4 linked regions of the Saccharomyces cerevisiae S288C genome follow. The gene in region 4 interacts genetically with the main gene of each other region. Each region holds a gene or a part of one and is shown on either strand. Other genes may lie near its edges. The genes, in order: YOR387C, YCR051W, CRC1 and YNL035C.

Region 1 (5,649 bases), on a different chromosome or scaffold from region 4:
TTTGGGTGGAACCTCTGGGCTAAGTGTATATATAACTACTGGTAGGATAAGCACAAGACTTATAGTCAACCAGGCATTTCAATCATGCAACGGACAAATAATGTCAAAAGCACTGAAAGATAATTCGTCCACCCAAAATTTCATCAAAGAAGTTGCATGGAGAGATTTTTACAGACATTGTATGTGCAACTGGCCATATACCTCAATGGGAATGCCTTATCGATTGGACACTTTAGATATAAAATGGGAGAATAACCCTGTAGCATTTGAAAAGTGGTGTACTGGTAATACAGGCATTCCCATAGTCGATGCCATAATGAGAAAATTACTGTACACAGGCTATATTAATAACAGATCTAGAATGATCACAGCTTCTTTTCTTTCTAAAAACTTATTAATAGATTGGAGATGGGGGGAACGCTGGTTTATGAAACACTTGATAGACGGTGATTCGTCTTCAAATGTTGGTGGCTGGGGTTTTTGTTCTAGTACAGGAATTGATGCCCAACCATATTTTAGAGTTTTTAATATGGATATACAAGCAAAAAAATATGACCCACAAATGATATTCGTCAAACAATGGGTTCCCGAATTGATTTCTTCCGAAAATAAGCGTCCAGAAAACTATCCAAAACCTTTAGTTGATTTAAAGCATAGTAGGGAGCGTGCTTTGAAAGTTTATAAAGACGCAATGTGAGAATAACGTCTCCTGATTAAGCAGGTGTGCTTTAGTAGTTTTGCCGCTTTGCTTGATCACTGTTAGTATTTCGGCAAATTATATGGTATTGGTCGCCTTGCCAGGTTCTTTAGGAAGTTCATCATAAACTAACGCTTTCAAGAATTTACGGAAATGATAGGGTTTATAGTTTTTATAACAGTAGTGGACCTAGAAAACACCGATAGCTGGCGGCGGTTATATCTCATTACTACTATGAAAACTGTGGCTCCTGAGTAGCTACTGAAGGATGTGCCCATCTTAATCCAGACCTAGTCAATACAATCAATACAACTGTCTAGCTGAAAACTGACAAAAAAGTTTGTCGATGTCTCTAGTATATTCACTATAACACTAAATTTTATTGTAAATTATTACACAAGTTTTCAAGAAGAAAAACAATATTAAACACAATAACTAGATTATGCGAGGCACGGCAAAAGGAGTGAAGAGGGCAAAATACGGAGAAGACAATATAGAATAAATTTCTTTTTTTGATTAGAGAAGATTGTTTGCCAGTGACTGTGAACTAATTAAAAGGGAAAAGAGAATGCCTTGGTTAGATTGCTTGGAGCAATAGTCTTACCATGATGATCAGTCGGATTCTGACGACGTTGGGTATTTTAAAACACGCGTAATTGAAAGGGTGATGTTGAGAATGGACCACTTCAAGATATGCTCGAAAATGTAGCTATATTTCACGGATGAATAACTCGTAAGAATGTGCAGTAGCTGATGGACCTAGGAACGATCAAGTCAACGTTGTATTTTGGTTCGGCAAACAATTGATATGATGTTGACAAGAAAACCATCTGCGCTCTAATCTCTAAGTACACGTGCATTTGGACCTATCATCAAAAGAGAATAAGAGGATACTTTCAAGAGAAGTTCAAAAAAGAATCATTATTATGATCCAATGACAGTGACAATAAGATCAACATAAAAAAGAAAAGTCAGAAGTATAAATCTGGGTCTTTTTCTCTAAAATAATTATAGTCTGTTAATTTATAAAACTGCCTAAAAAATATACTTAAAATATGTCTACAGATTATGCAGCTGGAAAAAATCAAGCAAAACCAGCGTCTGGTGGACAAACGGCCTTCAACTGGATGGCGGTACAATAATCTGGTAATGTCTCATTCGCAGCGAAAATGTTCACAGTTGGGGTGCTCAAAATAACAGAAGCAAAGTTTGGGTAACAGGAAGCAACTTGAACGCCATACTGAGTAGAGTTAAACAATTGGTTAGCTAAACCGGTTATGAAGGAAGCATTATCAGCGGTGTCTGCCCAAGAGTTGTATTCAATTTCACCAGTAACAGTGTTAGCAAAAGGAACCATAGCATCACCAATGGATTGAGGGTTACAAGTGTAGATATTGGTGGTGAAGATTAGTGGAGAAAAGTTCTTCGTATCATTGCTAGCAATAGTAGTCAACTTTGGGAGGAATCTTGTTTCCTGGCCCAAATATCTTGCCCAAGCGTCACCAGCGCTTTCAGTTAAAACGTCGGCACCAGCAAACGTAGATTGACCCAAAAATGTACCATTTTGGCCAACGACTTCCATAACGTAGGTACCACAGTGAGGTCCATGTAGGTTATTACAAGTGACGTTAGTCAAATCAAATCTGACGGCTGTTGCAACAGACACAAGGACGCTGAAAAAAGTAAAAATGTTTAGGAAACTCATGGTATGGTTGTTGTTCTTGATTTCTTGAGATTGTACAATCTATCAGAAGCAGTAGCTCTCCATTTTGAATGAAAATTACGATGCTTATATATCAATTATACCTGTTATATGCTGAAAACCTTAATGATTATATTAACCTTTTTCTAGCAACTGAAAATACAGATCTGGAATATGTTTCTATATTTCCAACCTCAGCGGTTATTCGAAAAAAAAATAATTGACCCGCAGGGTGTATAGGTAGTTGATGAAAGTATCATTGTTTTTAATTTATTGTTAAAAGTCCGAAAAGCGAGAATGCATGAAAGTATTACCTTCCATTCCAGGAATAGAAGCAACACTAATTCAAAAGCCCGTTTAGGAAAGATCCGAATATTTTGACAGTAGTACGTAATGAATAACCACTCAGGTGATACTAAGACAAATTTTACAACATTTTAATGTGTTCCTGATTTGATTATGCAACACTTTTTTTGACCCAGTCCAAAAAAACTGCCGTAATATACTTCATTGGTTGTCGTACAAGTAAGCTTTAACATGGTTCTCGAAGTCAAAGCGCAAACATGCGACCAATGGGTCAAAATAATGGTAAGACGCTGCAAAATTCTCTTCACTTAATTGAAAAAAAGTTTCATAATTCATGTCGGACAGATTTATTTCTGGACAATTTGGTTCTGTTGAATTCAGAAATGCTCAGGGTTCATCATGCCATAGTGCCACTTCAATGGAAGACAATACCTTTGAGAAAAAAAGGTACCTTGCATGAGGTATGATGCACGGGTGCACTGTTAAAAAAAAAAAAATTTCAGATGTATTTAAAGACTTTCTAGGCTGGGCGGCTAACAAAAAAGTGATGGAGAGTGAATCAACAGGTGCCAATATGCAGCAAGTGGAACTTTCTGGGGATTTTATTACTGTGATGTTCGACAAATAGTTCAAATAATTATAAGCTAGTGGCTGCATTGGATTATGAAACAGGGAATCAGATATAGGCTTCCCTGGCTTTCCTTCGAAACGTTTGAAGTAGTAAGCGATAACCTATCCCTGAACACTTAACATTATATGGCTCTTTTCTGCAGCAGATACTTTTGGAGTCTTAAAAGCACAATGTTTGAGCCGGCCAGGCGCCCATAATTAGAAATAAAAACTGTTTATAGTGTAGATGATCAGTTGTGATTATGCTACTGTTACAATTAATGAAGTTGATTGCGATCTCTCCTTTTACTGTATCTTTAGTTCTGTTATTAACGACGAGCCAAATTCCAGAAAAACAGTAAGGGAGAAAGACTTTTCCTCTTTATTTGAACCGCTACCGTGAAGATCGTTTACTGCCAAATTTTGACAGCAGATTTTGTATATAGCTACCATATCAGCAGTTTCAATTATTTGATATTAATAAACCGCTCTTCTATTTTTTAAGAGATAACGAAAATTTTGCTTTACAAAATATTTAGCTAAGGTATAAATGTGCTATGGACGAATAGTGGAGAATACGCCAAAACAAGAACAAAAGGAGACCGGAAAACTTCTGCTCACAAATACTCATAATCACTCTTATTTCTTCTGTCCATAAGCTCTGGTGGCATAAGAACCATTCTGCACAATAATATCCTGTGGACGGTAATCAAACTTTTTGGAAAAGTAACTATTTAGGATGTTCTTTACTCCCTGAGCGTACCTCTTTTGAGCATCCAGAGATGTGCCACTGATATGAACAGTCATTGCGTTTCCCACGTGGTCCTTATTGTCCATAGTCCTCCAGGGATGGTCTTTTGGTGCTGGTTGCTTATCCCAGACATCACCACCATAGCCAGCCAATTTACCAGACTTGACTGCCTCGGCAACATCTTCTGCGACACAAATAGCACCTCTAGCGGTATTCACCAAGTATGCACCATCTTTCATGTGGGAAATAAGCTTTTTATTGAATAAACCCCTTGAGTCCTTGTGCAATGGACAGTTGATGGTAACAACATCTGACTGAGCAACCATATCCTCCAATTTCTCTACTCTCTGAACAATATCACCTCTGCCATTGAAAAGCTTGCTGGCCTCGTTCAATCTATTGATTGCTTCCGCAGGTAGTTCCTGGTAGTCGTAGTACAGTAACTTCTTCGGATTAAATGCGACCAATCTTTCCAGAACCCTATATCCAATTCTACCGGCACCTACCGTTGAAATTATTTTGTCTTCCAGATCATACTCATTTTTAGCCACGCCGGCAATATCCCACTCACCATTAATTGCTTGTTGATGACCACCATTATAGTTTCTTATCAAAACCAAAATTGTGGCCATAACGTGCTCTGCGACAGAAACGACGTTAGAACCAGTAACTTCGGTGACCGTGATTTTCCGTTCATTTGCAGCTTCTAAATCGACATGGTCTGAACCGACGCCAGCGGTTACACAGAGCTTCAGGTTAGGAGCTTCTGCAATCCTGTTTCTCGAGATGTAGGCGGGGAAAAAGGGCGTAGTAATGACAATTTCAGCGTCTTTCAACTCCCTGTCTACCGTTGAGGTTGGCTCAGGGTCCTTGTCAATGGTAGTAACCAACTCGTATCCCTGTTCTTCAATGAAATTTCTGATACCAAGTTCATTTTCAATACACCCCAATAACTTTTCCTGCTCTTCAGCATGCTTACCACCTTCGTAAAGAACCAGCAAAACCTTTCCCTTCGACATATTAATTTTCAGCTGTTATTTTGATTTGATTAGCGTTGCAATACTTGTAAATTGTTCCTGCTTAAAATGAATAAAAAAAGCACAATACAAGAATATGCATATTTTACGTAAATGATATATTAACTAAACTTTCCTCAGCAAGAACTCATTAAAAAAGACTCAATTTTGTGCCCTTTTATATGTTCTTTTTTTCAATGATTGACAGTGCAGAGTGATTTCTCCAACTTTTAGTTAACAGTGAATAATCCAAGAATAGTATATTCCGCATAACATCAAAATAGTTTTATTACTGGCATGTCTTTTTCATTCGGAGTTCTAGTATCGGTGCCTTCCTAGTAAGGAAATTCCCGATTATAAGGGAAAAAAAGAAAAGGGATAAGCCGCTTGGGCTGTTGGTCCAAACAGAATGTTTTAAACCATAGCCAAACAAGTGCAAAATAGAAAAGTTGGGGTTAAAACTCTCTTTCAAGCCTATCCTCGAGTGGTGACAAAATAGGTAATTTCCGACACTTTTTTCTGCTACTAAGCACCGTGAAAAGAGAACGTTTCGAGAGTACATTTCGTA
Region 2 (5,701 bases), on a different chromosome or scaffold from region 4:
GGTAGAACTGGGCCACAAATTTCCCTCCCTTCTTCAGTGCAGCATACAATGTGTTGAAAAACCTCATCAACCGCTGTTTAGGATCGTTGTATGAAGTGTCCGCATTGCACAGCCATTGGATCGCACTGATACTAATAGCCGCGTCAAACGAGCCCGCCCGGAACGGTATCCCGGTGCCCATATCCTGCAACATCAAGTCGCCCTCCAGCTCTCTACTAAGACCGGTCGCAAGCATGCTGGGCGATATATCCAAACCACACCACACATGGTCTCCCTCCTGCGTCAAAATCTCCCCAGACAGTCCGGACCCGCACCCGATATCCAGAATGAAACTGCACGGCTGCAGATTCAAAAGCTCCAACGCCCTCAGCGTCATCTTCGCCTGGATATGCTGCACTCTGGTCGAACCCGTGTACTTGTGTGCTTCGCTATCATTATAGAAAATCTCCGGTGGTGCCAACTCCTCAGGACGTGACATTATTTCTTCTCTGATATATTTCCTGTGTTTCCGTACCGCACCTTTTTAGCACTACTTTTTTACTATGCTCTTCTTCTTCTGCTTCTTCTGCTTTTTTCCTCTTTATCACACTATGTATGTGCTGCTCATCTCTTCTTTTTATCGATAAAATTGAAAAATGTGAGATGGTGTAGAGTGAAAAAAAAAAAAAAATCTGGCTTGGCCATCAAATACCCGGCCGTGGTTGGACTCGTTTAGCGAACAATAGCACCCAGCAGACCCTGGCAACATGCGGATGATATAAGAAGGACGAGCGTGGTGGAGGAAAGGGGCGCCATTGGCACACTCACGCAGGTGGTTGTTCAGCACGGCTTGCAGCAAGAGCGCCAAAACAGATTGCAAGAATGACGGAGACTAAGGATTTGTTGCAAGACGAAGAGTTTCTTAAGATCCGCAGACTCAATTCCGCAGAAGCCAACAAACGGCATTCGGTCACGTACGATAACGTGATCCTGCCACAGGAGTCCATGGAGGTTTCGCCACGGTCGTCTACCACGTCGCTGGTGGAGCCAGTGGAGTCGACTGAAGGAGTGGAGTCGACTGAGGCGGAACGTGTGGCAGGGAAGCAGGAGCAGGAGGAGGAGTACCCTGTGGACGCCCACATGCAAAAGTACCTTTCACACCTGAAGAGCAAGTCTCGGTCGAGGTTCCACCGAAAGGATGCTAGCAAGTATGTGTCGTTTTTTGGGGACGTGAGTTTTGATCCTCGCCCCACGCTCCTGGACAGCGCCATCAACGTGCCCTTCCAGACGACTTTCAAAGGTCCGGTGCTGGAGAAACAGCTCAAAAATTTACAGTTGACAAAGACCAAGACCAAGGCCACGGTGAAGACTACGGTGAAGACTACGGAGAAAACGGACAAGGCAGATGCCCCCCCAGGAGAAAAACTGGAGTCGAACTTTTCAGGGATCTACGTGTTCGCATGGATGTTCTTGGGCTGGATAGCCATCAGGTGCTGCACAGATTACTATGCGTCGTACGGCAGTGCATGGAATAAGCTGGAAATCGTGCAGTACATGACAACGGACTTGTTCACGATCGCAATGTTGGACTTGGCAATGTTCCTGTGCACTTTCTTCGTGGTTTTCGTGCACTGGCTGGTGAAAAAGCGGATCATCAACTGGAAGTGGACTGGGTTCGTTGCAGTGAGCATCTTCGAGTTGGCTTTCATCCCCGTGACGTTCCCCATTTACGTCTACTACTTTGATTTCAACTGGGTCACGAGAATCTTCCTGTTCCTGCACTCCGTGGTGTTTGTTATGAAGAGCCACTCGTTTGCCTTTTACAACGGGTATCTTTGGGACATAAAGCAGGAACTCGAGTACTCTTCCAAACAGTTGCAAAAATACAAGGAATCTTTGTCCCCAGAGACCCGCGAGATTCTGCAAAAAAGTTGCGACTTTTGCCTTTTCGAATTGAACTACCAGACCAAGGATAACGACTTCCCCAACAACATCAGTTGCAGCAATTTCTTCATGTTCTGTTTGTTCCCCGTCCTCGTGTACCAGATCAACTACCCAAGAACGTCGCGCATCAGATGGAGGTATGTGTTGGAGAAGGTGTGCGCCATCATTGGCACCATCTTCCTCATGATGGTCACGGCACAGTTCTTCATGCACCCGGTGGCCATGCGCTGTATCCAGTTCCACAACACGCCCACCTTCGGCGGCTGGATCCCCGCCACGCAAGAGTGGTTCCACCTGCTCTTCGACATGATTCCGGGCTTCACTGTTCTGTACATGCTCACGTTTTACATGATATGGGACGCTTTATTGAATTGCGTGGCGGAGTTGACCAGGTTTGCGGACAGATATTTCTACGGCGACTGGTGGAATTGCGTTTCGTTTGAAGAGTTTAGCAGAATCTGGAACGTCCCCGTTCACAAATTTTTACTAAGACACGTGTACCACAGCTCCATGGGCGCATTGCATTTGAGCAAGAGCCAAGCTACATTATTTACTTTTTTCTTGAGTGCCGTGTTCCACGAAATGGCCATGTTCGCCATTTTCAGAAGGGTTAGAGGATATCTGTTCATGTTCCAACTGTCGCAGTTTGTGTGGACTGCTTTGAGCAACACCAAGTTTCTACGGGCAAGACCGCAGTTGTCCAACGTTGTCTTTTCGTTTGGTGTCTGTTCAGGGCCCAGTATCATTATGACGTTGTACCTGACCTTATGAACTGCCACCATACCACGTGTGTCCCTCGCAAGCCCTTGATAGATATACAATAGGGAATGGGCGTCCGCTCCACCGTGGTCAAAGACAGGGGCAAAGAGCTCCTAGGTCTATATATATATCTATATACATATTTATATATATTATTAGAACTTTACAATATAGTATATACCATTCATTGTTTAAGTTTCGGGTAATACTTTTTTTTTCCTTGTCATAACCCCAAAAATTTTCGATGCCTTTGATATAATTGAGAACAAGAAGAGTTTGCAGGTGACAAAAATCGATGATTATAGGTGTTGTGACGACAAAATGAACGCTAATATATGGGTGGCTGCTTCAGATGGTAATTTGGACCGAGTGGAACATATCCTCCGCGAGAGTAAAGGCGCCATGACCCCGCAATCCAAGGACATTAACGGCTACACTCCAATGCATGCTGCCGCCGCATACGGCCACCTGGATTTGCTGAAGAAAATGTGCAATGAGTACAATGGAGACATTAATGTGTTGGACAACGACGGCGATACCCCGTTGCACCATGTGGAGGATGTGGCCACTGCCAGGTTGATCGTGGAAGAGCTGGGTGGAGACTTCACTATCAGGAATGTGGAGGGCCAAACGCCATACGACTCGTTCGTCGAGAACGGTGAAGATGGTGAGCTAATCGAGTACATGAGGATTAAGTCCGGCGTGGCCGATGTTCACGGAGTGGACGGCGTGCAGGGTGAGGGTGTCATCGACAGCAAATTGCTGGAAGAGTTCAAGGACAACGTGAGATACACCTTGGAAAATGACCCTGAGGAAGGAGCCGATGAGGCCACTCTGCAACGCAGGAGGCAGTTGGAACAGATCATTACGGGAGACAACGCTGAGGAGGAGTTGGAAAGGTACATCCGTGCTATGGTCAGAGAGCAGATGCTGGGCCAGGGCTCCATGGCGGGTTCCGGGGACGAACCAGATTCCAAGAGAAGAAAATAACGACCCAGCACAAAGGCTCTTACAGCTTGCTAAAAGAAATTGAACGCGACGCTACATGAACTACTTCTTTCTCTTACATAGTCTTTTCCCTTATGTATCTTTTCTGTACATTAATAGACGTTCTTACAAGGTAAAATTTCACCGCGTTTTTAAATAGAATGAAAAAAACGTTGTAGAGTGAAAGAAAAGCAACAAATATACAGTTCACAAGGCAGCTTCGTATAGTAATACAGCACGAAAAACAGCTCATAGAAATGGTAACACAGACCAATCCGGTCCCTGTTACATATCCAACGGATGCTTATATCCCCACGTATCTGCCCGATGATAAGGTCTCCAATCTGGCAGATTTGAAAAAATTGATAGAAATGGATTCCAGACTAGATTTGTATCTGACAAGAAGGAGGCTGGATACGTCCATCAATTTACCTACAAACACCAAGACCAAGGACCATCCCCCCAATAAAGAGATGCTGAGGATTTACGTCTACAACACTACGGAAAGCAGCCCTCGCAGCGATTCTGGCACCCCAGCGGACTCAGGCAAGACTACATGGACACTGAGAATAGAAGGTAAGCTTCTGCACGAGTCCGCAAACGGAAAGCACCCATTTAGTGAGTTTTTGGAAGGTGTCGCGGTCGACTTTAAAAGACTGAAACCGCTGGGCATGGGCAAGAAGAGGAAACGCGATTCGTCATTGAGCCTTCCTTTGAATCTGCAACAACCCGAATACAATGATCAAGATAGCACCATGGGCGATAACGACAACGGCGAGGATGAGGACAGTGCAGAGGCAGAATCCAGGGAGGAAATTGTAGACGCACTGGAATGGAACTACGATGAAAACAACGTTGTGGAGTTTGATGGTATCGACATCAAGAGGCAAGGCAAGGATAATTTGCGATGCAGTATAACCATCCAGTTGAGGGGTGTCGACGGTGGAAAAGTACAGTACTCGCCCAACTTAGCTACCTTGATAGGTATGCAAACGGGCTCCGTTAATGACGCGGTTTATTCGATCTACAAGTACATTTTGATCAACAATCTGTTTGTTACGGAACAAACAGAGGCTCAAGATGGTTCCAACGATGCCGAAGACAGCAGTAACGAGAATAACAATAAAAACGGTGCTGGTGACGATGATGGCGTCGAGGGAAGTACTCCAAAGGATAAGCCCGAATTGGGTGAAGTGAAGCTAGATTCACTCTTACAAAAGGTATTGGATACAAACGCCGCGCACCTCCCCTTGATGAATGTTGTGCAAACCGTGAACAAACTGGTATCACCCCTACCGCCCATCATCCTAGATTATACAATTGATCTTTCCAAAGATACCACCTATGGTGCTACCACCTTGGATGTAGATGTGTCGCACATTCTCCACCAGCCTCAACCCCAGCCAAATTTACAAAAAGAGGAAGAAACAGATGCTGAAGACACAGCAAAACTACGTGAAATCACAAAGCTTGCCTTGCAGTTGAACTCTAGTGCTCAAAAATACCAGTTTTTCCACGAACTGTCTTTGCATCCAAGAGAAACGCTGACTCACTACTTATGGTCTTCCAAGCAAAACGAGCTTGTGCTGCAGGGCGACCAATACTTCAATGAAGATGCTGCAAGAACGAGTGACATATACAGTAACAACAACAATGACAGGTCACTAATGGGCAATATCTCACTACTGTACTCCCAAGGAAGACTATAACATCACTGTATGATCTCATTCTTTCTGCAATTATTGCACGCCTCCTCGTGAGTAGTGACCGTGCGAACAAAAGAGTCATTACAACGAGGAAATAGAAGAAAATGAAAAATTTTCGACAAAATGTATAGTCATTTCTATCAATAACGTATACACGTTTTTTTAATACTATCTATATTGTGTATCTTATATTTTTCCATTTGGTAGTATAGCAGCAAATATTTGTTCTTAGACGGCCACCATCCCTCACACCAATGCCTAACGCTTCCCAAGTTTACAGATCTACCAGATCCAGCTCTCCAAAGACAATCTCTTTTGAAGAGGCT
Region 3 (3,507 bases), on a different chromosome or scaffold from region 4:
GATGGGGTGATGCTCCAGTTCATTCTATTGGTGCTGCGCTGTTCTTGGACCGCTCTGAAATCCATCACTTCGGTGATATTGGTTATTACCATGTTCCATTTCACTCCTGTCCAATAGACACAAGTATCAGACTGGCTAACAAATGTGACTGTGATCCAAGCAAAGATTTCACATGGCACAGTTATTCATGTACTACTAAATTCTACAATATAAACAAGTTGCCAAAGCCTGCTGGTTGGCAAAACCATATCGGTTGATTATACTGTAATCAGCCCACGTTGTCTTTGTATTTTCCACTTTTTTTATTTATACTATTTAAAGAAACAGAATAAATTATAACTCTTTTTTTTACATATCACATTTATATTTACTCCATTGCGTTACAAATATGAACGCTTCGACAACAACGCCAAGGAAACCGGGATAACCCAACTGATATTTTCTACCATACACTGAACGAAATTGCAGAACCAAAAAATAACAAAAAGTTCCCAAAAGGAATGCCAGAAAAAAATGGGAGGCAGGTCCACCTAACAAAAATTTAATCATATGCCATACTTCTTGAACAGTGAATGAGTCATCTCCACACCTAAAAATGTGGCCGCATTGGCTGGGAAAGATCTTAGTAAAGCAGGACCTAAACCAGGGAAAAATCCCTTGATACCACCTCTTTGTAGATAAATTTCCTTTGTGGCGGAAAGCATATTCTGCCTCGTGGAGGAAGCCTGCAATTTTGTCTTTATAGTGTCTATGGGGAAAACAGCTAGCCACATCGACATACCAGCAATACCACCAGCAAGACACACGTTCAAGATATTGACCGGTTCATCTTTGCCCGCATCTTGACGAGGTTGCCTACTATTCAAGTAATTTTTTGAAATTTCATAAGATGCAAAATATAGAGCTGAGCCAGGCCCATCTCTTGCTAAAGTGGCTAATGAACCTTTAAATAAAGAAGCTATGCCACCTTCTTTAACAATGGTTTTAGCCGCCTGAATGAAAGAGCCCTTAGAAGATGTTTGCAGGACAACCTTTACTCTTTCCGTTGGCGCAGTCACTAAAGTGGTAGGAATAGCGCTGATAAATCCTGCTGCAGCCATTTGTCCCATAGTTAACTCGTTACTGCCTCCTTGCTTGTTATTAAAAGTAACCAGTTTCTTACCCACATCGTAACCCCAGAAAGAAACAGCGAATATGGGAGTAACACCTAATAAGGGCGGGATAACACCTTTATAGAACCCCTTTACGGAATTGGTAAATAATGTGCCCTTTACTTGAGTTTTTGCTTCTTTTATAATATTTGTAATGGCATGTACCGTGGAATTCGCTTGTCCATTTTGACATCTCACTTTAATCAAATCGAAGGGATGACCCGTAAACACCGCACATACCCCGCCAACTCCACCGGCCACAAATGATTTGATATTTTCGCGTACAGGGTTTGATTTTATAGGTGGACGAGACTTGGTCAAGCTCCCACTCTCTTCTTTCAATAATGAAGATTCTGATAATGAAGTGTCTGAAGACATTACTGACACGATGACGTTTGTGGAGGATAAGAAAGTCGTACAATACGTAGAATCCAAGGAAAACCTGGAATAAAAACACACATAGAGCGCAATTGAATATCGGCTATTTCTACAGTACAAGCGTCTGCCTATATATGCGCTTGAAATATATCTATTTCGACTAAAGGAATTATACCATCATGCATCTTTACTCTTAAATCTCCATTTGTCCACCGACTTATTGCGGCAAGTGGAGATCCAGTCACGCCGGATGACTGGGTGTAGATAAATAGCCGCCCAACTGATCCCTGCATAAAGCTTATATGCGGATATTAGGAGCAGTAACCCGATGACATTAAGCGTGTAGCCACAAGGAACTTCACCATTACTCATAGCAGAAAAAGCAGTGACCAAAAAATGGCAGGAATGACTCTTTTCTGTTTCCCCTCATATACACTGAAACATCTCGATATAAAGCATGCCCTTTATTGTACCATCAATGCAATGTAACGGCAAACGAGGCTAGGAATATGTATTACCCGCACTGAATTGCTTCTTCACTTAGCACACCCTTGATCGCTATGTTCTACGCTGCTACCCGTTCGGTAGGGAGTGGCGGGGAAATTCACATTGGCACAATGTAAACCCGTAGGAAAAAAAAAAAGCACGAAGAAAAAAAAAGAAACCAAAAATATTTACTACATGTAAGTCTATGGACATTTGACAACAAACTTTTTCAACTCATCGCAAGATTATGAATTTTTCACGGCTTTTCAGGTTTTTTCCTCCTTTTGTTTTACATTGAAAGGTTTATATTTTATGTCTTTGTATGGTTCTCTTAATTTGGATTCTTTCTTGTACGGTGTCTCTATTATCATCTGTCTTGTTCTTTCTTGCAATGCTTAATTAACTGCTGCCACAATTGACTTCGGTTTGGCTATTTCACGATTGAACAGGTAAACAAAATTTTCCCTTTTTAGAACGACATGCAGGGAAATAAATCAACTATAAGAGAGTATAAGATAGTAGTTGTCGGTGGAGGTGGCGTTGGTAAATCTGCTTTAACAATTCAATTCATTCAATCATACTTTGTGGACGAATATGACCCTACTATCGAAGATTCTTACAGAAAACAAGTTGTCATCGATGACAAAGTATCCATTTTGGACATTCTAGATACTGCTGGACAAGAAGAGTATTCTGCGATGAGAGAACAGTACATGAGGACTGGGGAAGGTTTCCTACTGGTCTATTCCGTCACCTCTAGAAATTCCTTTGATGAGTTACTGTCTTATTATCAGCAAATTCAAAGAGTAAAAGATTCTGACTACATTCCTGTAGTCGTGGTAGGTAACAAATTGGACCTTGAAAATGAAAGACAAGTCTCTTATGAAGACGGGTTACGCCTGGCCAAGCAGTTGAATGCACCCTTTCTAGAAACGTCTGCGAAACAAGCCATCAACGTAGACGAGGCCTTTTATAGCCTTATTCGTTTGGTAAGGGACGACGGTGGGAAATACAATAGCATGAATCGTCAACTGGATAATACGAATGAAATAAGAGATTCGGAGCTAACCTCATCTGCAACAGCGGATAGAGAAAAAAAGAACAACGGGTCTTATGTACTCGATAATTCTTTGACCAATGCTGGCACTGGCTCCAGTTCAAAGTCAGCCGTTAACCATAACGGTGAAACTACTAAACGAACTGATGAAAAGAATTACGTTAATCAAAACAATAACAATGAAGGAAATACCAAGTACTCCAGTAACGGCAACGGAAATCGAAGTGATATTAGTCGTGGTAATCAAAATAATGCCTTAAATTCGAGAAGTAAACAGTCTGCTGAGCCACAAAAAAATTCAAGCGCCAACGCTAGAAAAGAATCTAGTGGTGGTTGTTGTATAATTTGTTGAAAATGATCCTGCTCTCTTGATATGACATGGTTTTGATTGCAAGTCTATTCTTACTTGTTCAATTGGTTTCACCAGCATCTTTT
Region 4 (6,463 bases):
TCACCGGATAGACCTTTAAGTATTAGTTGACAGGCCAATCTGTCGCTAACATTGATATTGTTTTCTTTTAGCCTCTGAATGATCGTACTGACTGTAATTTCAAATGTATCAGCAGATGTACTTCCGTCGTACTCAAGGTTGGCAAGAGCTATCCAATCCTTTAATTCTTGATTGTTAGTTTGCATTTTGGACACACTTTTACAAAGGACTGTAAGGATGTCAGCATAATTAATTTCTAAAATTTGTTTTACCCATGTTGGCAATAAATGAAATGGGGCAAATGCTTGGAAGGTATTGTATATATACGCATGTTCTTCATAAGTCATTTGTCTTTTGATTTCACCCTGGTCATTTGGAATGATGTCACCGAGATTAGAGTTCTTCAAAAATCTGATGTAAAATTTAACCCATGTAGAAAAGTTTTCTTCTGATGTTAAAGTGTGTGGTGGTAAGACGTTATTTCCCACCTTTGTCTTAGCTTGAGGTATTTCAGAGTGTTGATTTTTTAAATCGATTGGATCAGGTGAGGAAGTACTCAGTGGTGGGATATACCGTGGCAACGGATAGTGTGGGTCCGGTTGATAATACGCAGGTGACGTTTGATAATGTGAACACGTCATCATAGATGGTTGTTGGTAATGTGCCCAGTTAGAGGCCATAGCTTTGTTTGGGGTCATCATGCCGTGCTGTTGGTACTGTCCATTCTGTGGAGGTGGTACTGAAGCAGGTTGAGGAGAGACATGATGATGGTTCTCTGGAACAGCTGATGTCCCAGGTGTTGTCTCTTGTTGAGAATTAACCTTAGTGGAATCTCTATCAAATTCCGGTAAATTGGAAGCTGAAACGGCTAACGGATCTTGATTTGATGGGACTTCCTTAGAAGTAACCGAAGCATAGGCGCTACCATGAAGAAAAATGTGGATTTTGATGTAATTGTTGGGATTCCATTTTTTATAAGGCAATAATATTAGGTATGTAGATATACTAGAAGTTCTCCTCGAGGATTTAGGAATCCATAAAAGGGAATCTGCAATTCTATACAATTCTATAAATATTATTATCATCATTTTATATGTTAATATTCATTGATCCTATTACATTATCAATCCTTGCGTTTCAGCTTCCACTAATTTAGATGACTATTTCTCATCATTTGCGTCATCTTCTAACACCGTATATGATAATATACTAGTAACGTAAATACTAGTTAGTAGATGATAGTTGATTTTTATTCCAACACATTCCAATACCACTGATAAGTACATTCTGCATGTCTATTTATAAAACCTTCTTTAAGACAAATATGCTATTTATCCTTTGATAACAATTTCCTGTGAGACAGAAATCACCATAAAATAATCGGGCGTGTGGTCTAGTGGTATGATTCTCGCTTTGGGCGACTTCCTGCCTAAACAGGAAGACAAAGCATGCGAGAGGCCCTGGGTTCAATTCCCAGCTCGCCCCTTTATATTTTTTCACCATCAACGTGGTGTTTCACTTATTCCTTTTCTAGTATTTTTTTTCCACCTTATAGAAGCGTGCACGTTTAATGCTGGAGATAAAAAAAAAAAATGCATTAATACTCTATATAGCAGAAATATAGTTGTTATAACATTGTACCAACAAAAGAAGCCCTATGAAGATAAACTATGATCTAGAAGTATCAACTTGTTTGGAATGTATGCTTCGTTTTTTAAGTTATAGAGTAGTTCTGCCGAAATCTCTTGCAGATGTTAGGCATCTCTTTAGATGTATTGTCTTTATGAAACTAGTATGGTTTGAAACGACTTTTCATGGAATGTTTCTTGGCTTTCTTGTGTTTCTCCTTCCTTGGCCTCGTGGAAACCGATTCTTTTTGAATAATAAGAGGTTCGTCTAAATTAATGGAACCTTCTCTGTCGTCATCTCCTAAGACGTTCATTTTTTTAGAGTAATCCCAAAAATTTTCTGGAATATCTAACGGCCCCTGTTTGTTTTCCCAAATTTTAACGCAACCATCTTCACCACAGGAGTATAACATGTTGCTATGTTGTGCTGGTATAAAAATATCTCTGACGACCTCGTCTCCATGGGCGTGTGGGATAACAATACCGTTTTCAGTATCCACCTTCTCATCTTTAAATGGTAGGAGGCACAACTCTCCACAATTTTCTTGGGTTTTACCGGTTGCAATGAGTCCAGGGTAAATATCTACCACGTAGTCACAGTTCCATATTTCTCTTACATCACCAAAGTCCAAGGGTTGTGGCTCTTTCAATTCGTCAGATTTGTCGTTCAATTCGTGAATTGCAAATGTTTCCATATGTGATAGTGTAAATATCCTCTTTGGGGACAACCATCCACAGGAATGTATTGACGCATAATTAATAACTTGGTGTAAAGCGTCCTCCTCCTCATCTTGTTTCAAGTCATAAATGTTCGTGTAACCATCAGTTGAACCACTGAGCAAAATATTGACGTCAGAAGGATGAAATTTAATACAGGTAACGTCATCATGGTGAGAGTCAATTAATGATCTCAATGGAGTGTCCCATTTGCGAATATCATATATGTATACAGCAGCGTCAATTCCCTGCAATTCGGTACCACAGGCCAATAGACCATGACGAGAATCTAAGGAAATAAAGGGGGAGTTGGCCTCGTTTTGAATTTGAGCAATGCGGTCATTCGTCCTTATATCGAAAACTTTCACCGCGTCGATAGAGGCGCTACTAACTAGATGACCAGCAGAGAAGTCGCTACCGATGACCTTCATATCATTGATTGCAGTTTCGCTCGCCTTAATCTTTTGTACTGATTTACCAGTACTCCAGTCTAGCAAACGTATTTCGCCATTACTTAATCCAGTTAAAAGACCATGTTTATAACTAGGCTGTAACTTAAGACACCAATTTTCTGACCCGAAAGAATTCGATTCAACTAAAGAATAACTAGCCATGCTCTAGAAGTTAATTTGAGATTCTCGAACTTAAGTAGTTTTTATTTACACAGTAAGACGAGCCAGTGCCTATGTCCTAATGACTGCGTACGTGCACTGTAGTCCCATCTAACATTTTTACAATCTGGACTAAGAAAACTTTTATAAATCACATTGCCAATGCAAAAAAAAAGAATGGTCTCTAGCGGGATCGAACCGCTGATCCCCGCGTTATTAGCACGGTGCCTTAACCAACTGGGCCAAGAGACCACTGTTATCTGTTTTCCACCGTCCCTCCACACTACCAAACCAACGTCACTACTGTGTGCCAGCACCACCGCTCATTATCCCTGTGCCACAAAACTCAACTTACACTGTCATTCGAATTTCCGGCAAACTCCGACTGAGAAATGTTCGTACTACTTCCTTTCTAGGGCACATTGAGGAAAAACTCATTGAATGCACCCTTTACAAATCTTAATATCTCTGACGTTTGTATTGTATTAACCAAGCAACCCTCCCTGTGCAAGTAGAAGCCCTGGATCCTTTGTGGTCGTAAAATGAACAAATACCAATAAGACGAAAACAAAAACAAAAACAAAACGACATAGCAACAATGCGGAATTATTTAAGGCTGGCACTCTTTCCGCATGTTTATCACAATTATTTCCACTTTCACTTAAAACCTTGTTTAAGCTTGGCCTACACCACAGGAAAAAAAACCATCCGATCTAATCTTCAAATATCAATTTGAGGTTGAAAAAATTTGCTAAAGCGTTGGTCTAATTTTGTTTTTCGCCCACATAATGTCTACATCTTTCCAGGAGTTCAAGGCCTTTTGCAACAAGGTTGGGCTAGACTTTCAATGGCTTAATTTGCAATCCTCCAAGTCTGTTCCCGAAAGCGGTTCCTCTGAAGGTTTCTCAGCCGTCAGTGATACCGTACAAGAAAACATCAGACCAGCTACGGAACCACTTAACGTCAACCAGTCCAAAGATCCTGTCAGCAACTTTTTTTATGATGTCAAGAATGCTCCGCTCTGGAACGTGTATAAGAGGAATCATTCCGGTCATTCTTCTACTGAGGCTTGCTCTGGAGTAAGTTCAGGGCAAGCGTCAAAAAACATACCCGAGGCAATGGTAAAAGAGACAGTCCTTTCTAATCACGACAATGTCACCATAATAAACGAATTACTGCCAACGTCTTCTGCCATGCACCAGGAAGAAAGCACCGCTATGACAACCTCCTACCTCTTATCCCACTCCGTAAATGATAGTTGCAACGTAATGCTTTCTTCCTCCTCCCACAACCGTGCTATGCTCCCACCTTCTCTTGTGCAAAGAAATAACGCTACCACATCTCCCACAACAGACTCTGCGTCAGAAAACAACGAATCGGTACCCTCACTAACCTCATCTGTTAGCACATCCTCATCAGTTTATTCGTCATGGAATCCTCCTCATTCTCCCCACATATCGTCATTTCCAGACGGCAATTTCGCATCGCTTAACGCAGAAGTGACTTGCTTTGATTTCCGCCGCACCAAGGACTCCAGAACAAAAGAGACGAATGAATCTATCATTCCAACTGAAATTTACTGCCCAATAAATTCCACTGATCACCACAAACATTATCCAAGCCAAAAATCTAAACAAGATGCCTGCGCTCCTGCTCCCCGCAATCAAAATATAAGCTGCAGCGTCGGGTCCGCAGCGGAATTTTCCCAGTCTAACCACACGTTGACTACTGTAGTTCCTTCATACATGCAACAGTACCTTGACAGGCCACAGAACTGGTTTGAAAGCAAAATGGGAAAATACTGTCCACTCTTTCTGAGAAGTACAAAGAACATTGACTACGATTCCCTCGAATTTAAATTTGAGCGCAAGATGATAGCTGTTCAATACCTGCTTTTAGACGAACAATCTGAGCCCAGAAGGTACTACAATCCCTCAAATAAAAGTATTCCATTCTGGAAGAGACCCTTCAACTTCGATACAATGCCCAGCTACGACCAACTTATGGAGGAAGCAGAGTGCCGTTTTTATTCATACCAATACAAATACGAAGGTTTCCAGAGGATTGAGCCCTACTCCATTTTTTGTCCCTGGAAAAACACACAAAGAGAAATAGATCTGGTTCTTGATCACATTCATTTTTCTCTCGATGTCGGCGAGAAGAAGTCTTTAAACCGAAAAGGAAACATCACTCTCGATACTTTAGACAGTAAGGTCGATCCTAACATTCAGATCAAGCCGTATCAGATTTTTCCGTCCAACAACCTAGTATACGAAGGCTTACCGCATCCCGCCGAACAATCCTTAATTTTGAGTCCTGGCACCTCCCTCATTGAGAGGGCGTTTCAGGCACTGATAGACATATGCAAGGAATCTATTCCACCTTCTAATGACTGTACTACCCGCAACCATAATAGCGCTCCTCAGCTTACCGTGCCAGAACCATCTAAACCATGCCGGCTACTACTTGTTCGTGAGTCTCGCACAGCAACAGAACTAGAAACTAACAAAAAGCTCTGGCTCCACTCACAGAGAAGGAATATCGAAGTGACCGTACCAATGCATCCTTCTGAGCATGGGACAAAAAGCCGGTTACGAAAATGGCTCTCAACTTTTGTACATCAGTGAACCGTCAGAAGTTCCGATAGTTCGAACTGTTTGGCACGGCTGACGAAATACTTTTAACGAGCAAGTTAGTCTACACATAACTTCGTACTTACCACCGTTTTCTTCTGGCGCGCCTCTTCAAGTAGACTACCACTTCCCTCTTGTAATAGTTGTTATATATGTTTTCATAGTCTGATTTAAATTTTACGCATATTCATCAATTAACCCAATGCACCAAAAAGGCGGGAAAGAAGCAGTAAAGCAAAGGCCTTTGCCAAGCCTTCTTATCGACAGAAGCAGCCTCAAAAGGTTCCTTCGAGAGCGGCGCGCGTATTTATTCACATCGCGAATCACTGGACCCTTAAAATAAAGGCGCCTATTCACGACATCTGCCACAGAAACAACTGTTCAGTTATCCTAGCAGCAGTTTTTGCACAACGGTATAAACCTGTACAAAACTTTAGCAAGGTTTTTTAACAACAAAAGTGCTTGAGGGACACAACACAAACTATAGAACAGACACTGTTTTCCTGACACTGCTTTCCTGACAAGAGACTCGTTTCTGAATTATTTTTTTTTTCAAGCATCTTTGTTTCGCTGGAACCATTGAGTCTTTTCTTCCATTTTTAATCTTTATTCTGCCTCCTTTCCTAAACACAAGTTGATACAACGAGGCTGTCAATAGCAAGAGCGTGCGCGAGATCATGCTTTACTCCAGAGAATCAAGGACAACCGTCCTTTTCCTTGCGTTGGTTACCTCCCTAACCGTACTTTGTCACTCGGTCGATGTAACAACTGTATTTACTACGTCAACAATCACCGAAATCACAACTGTGACTGCCGCACCGCAACCACAAAACAAAGCGGAAACCGCTTTGAATACTGCTACTAACATAATTCAAACCATGCAGTTTCTTTTCAA

The links.
Region 1: mutations in YNL035C (region 4) and YOR387C together harm fitness more than expected from each alone (negative genetic interaction), as found in Saccharomyces cerevisiae (one large-scale study listed by BioGRID).
Region 2: mutations in YNL035C (region 4) and YCR051W impair growth when combined (synthetic growth defect), as found in Saccharomyces cerevisiae (one study listed by BioGRID).
Region 3: mutations in YNL035C (region 4) and CRC1 together harm fitness more than expected from each alone (negative genetic interaction), as found in Saccharomyces cerevisiae (one large-scale study listed by BioGRID).

The regions. Positions count from the first base shown.
Region 1 is NC_001147.6:1,067,840-1,073,488, forward strand, and holds YOR387C (uncharacterized protein), read right to left. Parts: upstream 2,403-5,649; coding exon 1,782-2,402; downstream 1-1,781. Other genes in the region: deoxyribodipyrimidine photo-lyase PHR1, read left to right, coding at 1-697; FDH1 (formate dehydrogenase (NAD+)), read right to left, coding at 3,954-5,084.
Region 2 is NC_001135.5:211,068-216,768, forward strand, and holds YCR051W (uncharacterized protein), read left to right. Parts: upstream 1-3,003; coding exon 3,004-3,672; downstream 3,673-5,701. Other genes in the region: BUD23 (18S rRNA (guanine1575-N7)-methyltransferase), read right to left, coding at 1-478; ARE1 (sterol acyltransferase), read left to right, coding at 862-2,694; YCR050C (uncharacterized protein), read right to left, coding at 2,397-2,705; RSC6 (Rsc6p), read left to right, coding at 3,927-5,378; threonine synthase THR4, read left to right, coding at 5,630-5,701.
Region 3 is NC_001147.6:512,750-516,256, forward strand, and holds CRC1 (carnitine:acyl carnitine antiporter), read right to left. Parts: upstream 1,530-3,507; coding exon 546-1,529; downstream 1-545. Other genes in the region: alpha-1,2-mannosyltransferase KTR1, read left to right, coding at 1-257; Ras family GTPase RAS1, read left to right, coding at 2,495-3,424. UniProt on the Saccharomyces cerevisiae protein: Transports carnitine, acetylcarnitine, propionylcarnitine and to a much lower extent medium- and long-chain acylcarnitines.
Region 4 is NC_001146.8:566,754-573,216, forward strand, and holds YNL035C (uncharacterized protein), read right to left. Parts: upstream 2,939-6,463; coding exon 1,769-2,938; downstream 1-1,768. Other genes in the region: YNL034W (uncharacterized protein), read left to right, coding at 3,724-5,562; YNL033W (uncharacterized protein), read left to right, coding at 6,246-6,463.